2 linked regions of the Sus scrofa genome follow. The protein of the gene in region 1 interacts with the protein of each later gene in a pairwise test. Links are inferred from orthologs where the notes say so. Each region holds a gene or a part of one and is shown in the gene's direction. Other genes may lie near its edges.

Region 1 (4,414 bases):
ATAGACCATTTTGGTCTAATAACATGCCTAAACTGACATTGTCTTGTATTATTCTTCAGGGATTGCCCTCTGGCGTGCCAAGTTTAGGTACTGCCCAACAAAGGAAAAACATAAGCTGTGGAATTGGAATTCGGAGAGATTTGTGAGCTGATTTGAAAATTACCCAAAGTCCAAGTTATTTCCAGTAATAGAAGTAAGGGCCCTCTTGCATCAGTGCTCTATTACTCAGATAAATGCCTTTTGTACAAAGAGCCTAAAGTATTTTATAAGAACTCTCATGTATCCTCCTGACATGTAAAATCCCAGAATACTGTATAACTGCATACAACTGCTTTAAAGCCTATAGCACATTGGCCACAAGAAAAGATTATGTCAGTGTTTGAATGAACACCCCCAGGCTCTGTGAAACCCTCAGTGTGGGACACTTGTCTCAGCCTCTGAGTCTCCCCAGTCTGCCTCACTGAAGCCTGGTCCTGGGATGGGGCTCCCCCAGGTCTTGGGCCTGCAGAGTTCCTCATGGGTGGGCAGGTTGCTGAGAAAGGGGACTCCAGGAGTTCCCGTCGTGGTGCAGTGGTTAACGAATCCGACTAGGAACCATGAGGTTGCGGGTTCGGTCCCTGCCCTCGCTCAGTGGGTTAACGATCCGGCGTTGCCGTGAGCTGTGGTGTAGGTTGCAGACGCGGCTCGGATCCTGCGTTGCTGTGGCTCTGGCGTAGGCCGGTGGCTACGGCTCCAATTCAGCCCCTAGCCTGGGAACCTCCATATGCCGCGGGAGCAGCCCAAGAAATAGCAGCAGCAACAACAACAACAGACAAAAAGACAAAAAAAAAAAAAAAAAAAAAAAAAAAAAGAAAGGGGACTCCAGGAGTACGTGCACACCTTTCACCCCACTGCCACTGTTGAGGTTGTGGAGCAGGAAGCGCAGAGAGCAGCAGAGACCCTGGGTACTGCCCAGCGCCCCCCTAGCCTTCAAGCACAGGTACCGACCAGGTTAGTACCTCTGTACAAGTAGGCCAAGTGTACTACATGAGGAGATGGTAACAGGAGATGGAAAAAGCTCAGGCCTGGACCTCCCCGATGCTACAGTTGGGCTTCATCCTGATTTAAAGGCAAATCTCCCCAAGTTAAAATGGGAGTGAGGGGCCTGCAAGTGGTTTTCTTTCTGTGGGGTTCTGTCAACAGGTTTCACCCACCAGAGGCGAGGACTAGGAAGTTTGGAGGTTGTTGAGAGATGGGTGAGAATGGAGTCAGGGAAGTGATAGGGAGAGGAAAGTGAGGTGGGAAGAAGCCTTTTTGAGAGAGGAGTTCTTTGACCTCTATACTGTTAGACTCTTGAGTGATGTAGGTTTCACTTTCTACTCTCAGGCGCACTGGTTTTTTGTTTTTCCAATTTTCTTGATCCTAAGGACTCTCCTGGAGTACTTGCTAAAAGTTCAGACTCCTTGGTCTCTGTTTAGACAGAAATTCTAACTCAGTCCAAAGCAGGGTCAATATTCAATACTGGGGTAGTCACTGTCCAGGTGACTCTTGGGGAACCCTACCAAATCAGGGCTGGGTTCTGACATTTTGCTCTAGATTTGTCCTCCTTTGTAAATACAAATAGCGAGAGCATTGGGAACCATAACTGCACGAGTAGAGCTTTATTTCAAAAAAACATGAATGTTCATTTTTACCTGATAATAATACCTTGGTATTTGATTCTTTTTAATTTTAATTGTTTAAAACACTGCAATATTAGTTCATAATGACTGTCAGAACACCAGCTCTGTTAATCTTTGCAAACAGAACCACTGAGCAACCTTTTCTTTGTTGTAATGGCCTTGCCATCTACTTGACCTGGACTGATACTCTGTGATTTAAAATTTACCCAGAATTTGGAGAGTATGGTAAATGATGATAACTATTTTTTATAGTTAGAAATTTTATTATTAACTATTATGTTATTGTCACAGTCATTTTAACAATTTAAAATGTAAATAAAAAATTTCAGTGATTGTATTTTTTTCTTTTCAGAGAAGAACCAAGGCTTTAGCCTTCTTAGCTCATTGGCTGGAGCAAACCATAACATTGGATCAGCAGACACCTGCCATTCAGAGGTAGAGATTTTTTTCCTGGATCTTTTCTTTGCTTTGGCTTTAATTTCTACTCATCATTGTGAATCTTTACACCATTTATCATTTCTTCCCTTTCCATTTAAGAAGTGACTGAGAATATTAGAAATAGATAGAAGGCTAATCTAAAATAGCCCTTTTTATGCCTGCCACCTATTGAGAAAAGGCTATTTAGGCATTAAAGCAGTAAGCCCTTTCAAGATGTTTGCAATTTGTGCTGTTGCATGTGTTTTTGCTAAAGTGCTTTTAAAAATATGCCAGGATTTCCTTGAGGCATAAAGTTGCCTCTAGATCTTTAAATATAAAATAAAATTAATGGTTCTTTTTAAGTACTTCCTGTGTACTCTACAACCTGAAGCAAGGTACCTGCCCTTAATGAGTTTAATAAGCTGATTTCAACCCTCTGTCCTCAAGGACTGTGGTCCAGGACGGCTGTGGTCGGCAGGTAGAAGCCATGAGCACGTTCGGCAGTGCCATGTTGTCTTTCCAGGACCTTCTTCCTCAGTCTCTGAGGTCTTTGTGATAGGATCTTACACATTTTCAGATTTTGAAAAAAAAGCATGATCTTAAAACAAAACAGTATGTTTTAATAGTCAATAGCAAAATCACAACACTTGCTAATTTTTCCTTGAGGAAAAACACTCCTGAGTTAGTGGTCTTTTAGCCTTTCTTAATGTGACCTTGATCCTTGTTTCATCTCTCCTGGTCTCTAGTTCCTATTTCTACTTCTCTAAAGCTAACCAGTGGGTGGAAGTGTGAGCCTTTTTGGATTTAGTTCTGAAGCAGCTTCTTAAATTGTTGCTTGCGTGTGTTTTCCTCAACAGCAGCCCTGTTTGCCAGCAGCAGAGAGGACTGAAGCTCTCTTGGATCATCGAGGTGGCGCATCTAACACAGCAGACGCTCAGGTCGATAGCATTGTGGGTAAGCCCCTCCTCTGGCTGCCAAGTGACAGCTCTGTGGGACTTATAATAGTCCATGTATCGGGGCATAAATCATCTGGGGGGGAACTGACTTTAAACACGGACAAGGGAAGAAAATTGATAGTGCACCCCAAATGAATTGTGAGCCTTGTGGACGGATGTCAGAAAAAGGAGGGAGAAGAGTTCCCATTGTGGTGCAGCGGAAATGAATCCAGCTAGTAACCATGAGGTTGCAGGTTCGATCTCTGGCCTTGCTCAGTGGGTTAAGGATCTGGTGTTTCTGTGAGCTGTGGTGTAGGTCACAGACACGGCTTGGGTCTGGTGTTGCTGTAGCTGTGGTATAGGCCGGCAGCTGTAGCTCCGATTTGACCACTAGTCTGGGAACTTCCATATGCCGAGGTGCAGCCCTGAAAAGCAAAAAAAAGAAAGAAAGAAAGAAAAAAAAGGAGGGAGAGTAAATACATTACAGACCTGTAGGTACCATTTTCTTCTTGATTCTCTTAGCAGGATCTTGATTCAGATCATCTTAGCCAAAACAGACAGAAACAGATGGTGAAATAGCTTTCTATTTCCATATTCCACCGTTTTTGGTTCTTTTTCGTGTTTTTTTGTTTGTTTGTTTTTTGGCCACCCCATTGCATATAGAGTTCCCGGGCCAAGGATTAAATCCCAGCTGGAGCTGCTACGTACGCTCCAGTTGCTGCAACACCATATCCTTAACTCATTATGCCAGGCTGGGGATTAAACCTGTGTCCCCGCTACTACAGGGACACTGTCGATCCTTTTGTGCCACAGGAACTCCCATACAGTTTTTTTAATACTATTTCACAGTAGTCAGAATTGATGGTAACAAGAATAACACCTCTTTATAAGCCCTCTCATATCCTTTTAAAGTTCTTTTATGTCCACATTCTCATTTGGTAATGAATTTTGGCAGAGAAGTTATTTTACAGAGATAAGGGTGAGGCCTGGAACAGTTTCATAACTTGTCCAAGAAGGTCCTGGAACTGAAACTGGAAGCCAGTTTGTTGTCCAAAAGCCAGAAAGCCAAGTAGCTTAGTTGACAGTAACTATAAACACTCTTTTGTTGGGGAACTACTGACATCACTACTTCTCTTTATTCCACAGAGGGTCCATGTGCAGTAGTAAATTTAAAAAAAAATTTTTTTTGTTGTTTATAAGATAATATACCTAGAAAACTCGAGTGATTGGTTATAGAAACATATTAAGAAGAAAAAATTAAACACTATCTCTTTTCTCTCTAGTTTATTCAGCCTTGTCTTCTCAGTTAAACCCTTCATATCAGTTTTTAAACCTGTAAGTAAGGTCTCTGTCATGAAGACAAACCATTGACCACACTGAAGGAGGCAGGGAAGATAAAAA
Region 2 (5,190 bases), on another chromosome or scaffold:
CTCTGTGTCCTTGGGGAGAGGGCCACCTGGTGAGGAACAGAGTCCTGCCAACAGCCAGCATTAATCAACACACCCTACGAGTGAGCCACCTGGGAGTCAGATCCTTCAGCCCCAATTGAGCCTTCAAATGACTGCATTCCCAGCTGACATCTTTCTCTTTTTTTTCTTTCTTTTTCTTTTTTTTTTTTTTGGGAGGGGGGGCTGCACCCAAGGCATGAGGGATCCAACCTGAGCCACAGCAGCAACCAGGTCCTCAATCACTAGGCCACAAGGGAACTCCCCAGCTGATATCCTTTTTTTTTTTTTTTTTTGTATTTTCTAGGGCCGCACCCGCGGCATATGGAGGATCCCAGGCTAGGGGTTGAATCAGAGCTGCAGCTTCTGGCCTACACCACAGCCACAGCAACACCAGATCCGAGCCTCGTCTGCCACCTACACCACAGCTCATGGCAGGATCCTTAATCCACTGAACGAGGCTAGGGATCAAACCTGCGTCCTCATGGATACTAGTTGGGTTTGTTACCTCTGAACCACGACGGAACTCCTAATTTACCTTGCTTTCTTAGAGCAAGTCTCCCCTCAGTATCCATCCCTTTACTGAATGCTTACTATGTGCCACCATGTTCTAGGGGATGTAGATTGTTAACAGGTTCCCTGCCCTCAACGGAGGCAACACACACACAGAGACACACACCCCAAATAAAATCATTAACAGCTGTAAAAAGGCTTTAAAGAAATCTAACTGCTGACCTAGAGAATGTGGGGGGTCGAAGAGGGGAACTTCGTATGTTGGGTTCCCCCATATAGGACTGCGGAGGTGATGTTTAAGCCAAAGGAAGAAAAGAGGTCAGCGATCAAAGAAATGGGGGAAGGCAATTCCCATTGTGGCTCAGTGGTAAGGAACCTGACTAGTATCCATGAGGATGTGGGTTCAGTCCCTGGCCTTTCTCAGTGGGTTAAGGATCTGGAGTGGCTGTGAGCTGTGGTATAGGTTGCAGATGTGACTGAGATCCTATGTTGCTGTGGCTCTGACACAGGCAGCAGCTGCAGCTACTATTCAACCCTTAGCCTGGAAACTTCCACACACGGAGGGTGTGGCCCTAACAAACAAACAAACACATAACACATACTATATGTCCAGCACTGGGCTAAGTACTTTGGAAACTTACGGATGCTTTAAAACAACTCTACTGAGGTGACCCCTTGATCAACCGTCTTTTACAGTTAAAGAAGTTGAGTTAAGAGGTGAAGTTGCTGGCCCAGAGTCACACAGCTAGGAAATAAAGGCACGATTTGCATACAGTTCTGGCTTCCAAATTCATGCGCTTAAGCCACTGTCCCACATAAGTCGCTTAACATATTCTAAACAAAGTACTGGGTGACCATGCTCCCCCAACGTAGTTTCTTATTGATTGATTTTTAATTTATTTGTTTGTTATTAAAATACAATTAATTTACAGTGTTCTGCTAAAACAGCTATTCCCAGTACGTCCTTCTTGCCTTGTTGGGGGGGCGGTGGGAGGGAGAAGGAAGGCTGTCCGAACTACATTTCCTAGAGTGCAACCCTTGCCTTGCTGGCTGTCCAGCATTTCGGGAATTGTAGTCCTGCCAGGAGACATTCACCCACGGCTCCCAGAATGCATTTGGAGACCGAACCTTGCGCGAGGAAAAGGATAGTCGCGTAGCATGCTGGGACGCGGGACAGGCCCATTTCTCTGGCGTGCCGCTCAGACGAACGACCCCATTTCTTCGGACTACAATTCCCAGCCGGCTGTGCGCGAGAGAGGGCGGGCGAGTTCTTCTGCCGGAAGTCCGCTCTAGCCCCGGGTGCCCCAACAGCCGCCAAAGCCCGAGCCTCCCAGAAGCCGTGGGACCGGGGCCTCCCAGAAGCTGGGGTCGGACGGGGGTCGCCATGGTAACGGGGGCGCGCCCATACTGGGGATGGGCAGAGGGTGGGTCCATGTGCAGGTACTCGAGGCGCGGTGGGATACTGACAAGCCCCCCCGGCCGCGGTGCAATGGTCTGGGCCAGGCGGGGGCTCTCGAGATTGGGGCCGACCAAAGGCCGGGGAAGGGGACTGGGCGGCGGTTCTGGACGCCAGAGTGTAACGGGGCTCTCAAGGCTAGGGGGCTTTGGAGACCGGATGACAAGAGGAGGGGTCTGTGCGGGAGGGGACATTGGAGGTGGCTGAAGGGTTTTGAAACTGGCAGGCAACTCACGAAGAAGGATCTCCGAGGTGGGGAGAAGGAATTGGAGGTGGCGAGGGGGCATCCCAAGAAGAGAGCTCTCTGGGAGTGTGACCGGATAGTTGGAGAAGGATGGAAGACCTTCGGCTGGGAGAGACGGGGGTCTCTAGAGGCAGGAAGCTGACACTGCAGACGGAGAGGGGGTGTTGGAACTGGGCGGGATACTGCTGATGAAGGAGACAGAATTTCAAGAGGAAGAGACTGGACACTGGAAACGGGAAGTAGGCAACTGTAGGGAATGGGGCTTTAGAGTTAGGGAAAGCGTGCTAGAAAAGGGAGAAGGCTTGGCGTAGGGAGTGGATACTAGAGATGTGTGGGGAGCAGTGGAAGAGGTCACGGAGGGTAGGTAATAGGCACAGGAGTGCGAGAGATGGGGATGAGGCTTTGGGGGCAAGGACAAGCCACTGGATTTGGTACCCCTCCCCAGAGATGGGGAGACCTGACAGAGGGCATTGAAACCGAGAAAGAGGAAGTCGAAAGGGGACAGCTCTAGGGTAAGGGCTTGGAGACAGTAGGTTGGGGGACATAGAGCGGGGACATCCGAGGGTTGAGGGTGCAGGAGGGAAAGGGCTTCTGAGGGTGGATTCCCTGAAGTGGGGAGACTCTAATTGGGAGGAGAAACAGGAAGAGGTGCATGAGGGAACTGGGGGGGGGGTCAGAGGCAGAGCTCTCCCTCAGCTTTTCAGGCTTGCTTTTATCTCTGCCCTCAGTGTGCCCCATATTTCTCTGGCTCTGCCCCAGGCAGTGGCTGCCTGGTGTGGGTACCCCCACCTCCACCCCGTGCCCTCTCCCTGTCTCCCAGGACCCCTGCCTTGCTAGGAAGTGGTTTTCCCTGGCTCAGCAGACAGTGTTCTTGAAAGGAGACCATAATATCCTGTTCCCATCCAGCTTGATTGGTTGGGGAAGGAGGAATGGTGTGTGGAGAATGAGGCTTAGGGAAGAGAATGGACTCTATGAGAGGGTGGAGGCTGCCACACACACGTCAGGGGAAGTGGGTTCAAAGCAAAGCCCTTGGATTCCCAGCTCTGCTTTCTGGCTGTGAGACGTCCTTTCTCTGAGCCTCAGTTTCTTCATCTATCAAATGGGCACAAGAGTGCCCATCTCAAACAGAACGGGGCCCAAAGGCAGGCTTCCTAGCAGGATGAAACTTGGGCCATGGTCTTCTCAAAGTCAAATGATAATCAATTATAATATTACTAAGAACTAATATTGGGGAGTTCCCTTGTGGCACAGTGGGTTAAGGATCTGGTGTGATTACTGCAGCGGCTTGGGTTGCCTCCATGGCGAGGGTTCAAGTCCTTCGTTCAGGAGCTTCCACAGGCTGTGGTCTTGGCCAAAAAACCAACAACCTAATATTTGTATATCACTTCATGTGCACTCATCACGGTACTATAAGTCTTTTTTTTTGTTGTTGTTGTTGTTGTTGTTGTTGCTATTTCTTGGGCCGCTCCCACGGCATATGGAGGTTCCCAGGCTAGGGGTCCAATCGGAGCTGTAGCTGCCGGTCTACACCAGAGCCACAGCAACGTGGGATCCGAGCCGCGTCTGCAACCTACACCACAGCTCACGGCAACGCCGGATCGTTAACCCACTGAGCAAGGGCAGGGACCGAACCCGCAACCTCATGGTTCCTAGTCGGATTCGTTAACCACTGCGCCACCACGGGAACTCCTAAGTCTTATATTTATTAACTCGTGCAACAGTCTTATGAGGGATGTATTCTCATTATGTCCATTATACAGATGGGGAAATCGAGGTCCAGAGAGGTTCAGTGATTTGCCCACAGACACACAGCCAGCAGTGCCAGGATTCATGCACAGTCTCCAGCCTGAGTTCTTAGCCACTTGATCAAATGCCTCTCTGTCATAATAGCTAATTTTCTCGAGAGCTCCGTAAGCAGTAAGCGTTATACTAAACACTTTTGTCATGAACTTGTTCAGTGTTCATAGTCACCTGAGGAGAGTTGAGCTGACGCTTCAGAATCACAAAAGCACATTTCCTAGCCATCACTGATGATAATTGTAGCTGACACCGAGCATGCCTGCTAGCATCGGCCATTGGATTAAATTGATAAACCTATTTAACCTTCAAAACACCCTGACAAGATGGACCTTCTAAGGAAACTTGTTCCGCCAGTGGGGAAACTGAGGCTTAGAGGGGCAGATCTTTTGTCCCGGGTCCTGGGAACAAGAACTGGCAGAGCCTGGCACTCAGCGCAGCGCACGTCCGCCAGTGGAAGAGAAATCCCTCCACGGGGGTGGGGGGAGTGGGGGGTGGTGGGAGGGACTTGGGACCAGAGCCTTCGGCCAGGCCAGCCTGGCTGGGCTCTGGGGAGTGGCTGAGATGGGTGGACCTGCTCTCCCCTGTGGGGGCGGGTGGGGCTGTTGGGCTGGGCCGCCTGGCACTGGCCCACCCTCCCCATCTCTCTCCCTTCCTCCTCCTCCCTCTGCCCCCAGATCCGCTTCATCCTCATCCAGAACCGGGCAGGCAAGACGCGCCTGGCCAAGTGGTACATGCAGTTTGATGATGACGAGAAACAGAAGCTGATTGAGGAAGTGCACGCCGTGGTCACTGTCCGAGATGCCAAACACACCAACTTTGTGGAGGTGATAGGACCCTCCCCCCTGCCTCCCACACTCCCCTGCTTCCTTTTGACCCTTCCTGCTCAACCTTGTGGGTTTTTTTTTTTTTTTAGGGCTGCACCCACAGCATATGGAAGTTCCCAGGCTAGGGGTGGAATTGGAGCTAGAGCTGCCAGTCTATGCTACAGCCACAGCAACGCCAGATCCAAGCCACATGTGCAACCTACACCACAGCTCATGGCAACACTGGATTCTGAACCCGCTGAGTGAGGCCAGGGATGGAACCTGTATCCTCATGGATTCTAGGTGGGTTTGTTACTGCTGAGCCACAACAGGAACTTGCAACCTCATGGTTCCTGGTC

The links.
Region 2: the proteins of AAGAB (region 1) and AP2S1 interact in binary tests that used the Homo sapiens proteins (3 or more experiments, as listed by UniProt). The link is inferred for Sus scrofa from reciprocal best matches to the Homo sapiens genes AAGAB and AP2S1.

Annotation. Positions count from the first base shown.
Region 1 is NC_010443.5:165,136,928-165,141,341, reverse strand, and holds part of AAGAB (alpha- and gamma-adaptin-binding protein p34), read left to right. Parts: intron 1-2,013; coding exon 2,014-2,096; intron 2,097-2,935; coding exon 2,936-3,032; intron 3,033-4,414. UniProt on the Homo sapiens protein: May be involved in endocytic recycling of growth factor receptors such as EGFR.
Region 2 is NC_010448.4:52,699,767-52,704,956, reverse strand, and holds the start of AP2S1 (AP-2 complex subunit sigma), read left to right. Parts: upstream 1-1,758; 5' UTR 1,759-1,912; coding exon 1,913-1,915; intron 1,916-4,702; coding exon 4,703-4,852; intron 4,853-5,190. UniProt on the Homo sapiens protein: Component of the adaptor protein complex 2 (AP-2). Adaptor protein complexes function in protein transport via transport vesicles in different membrane traffic pathways.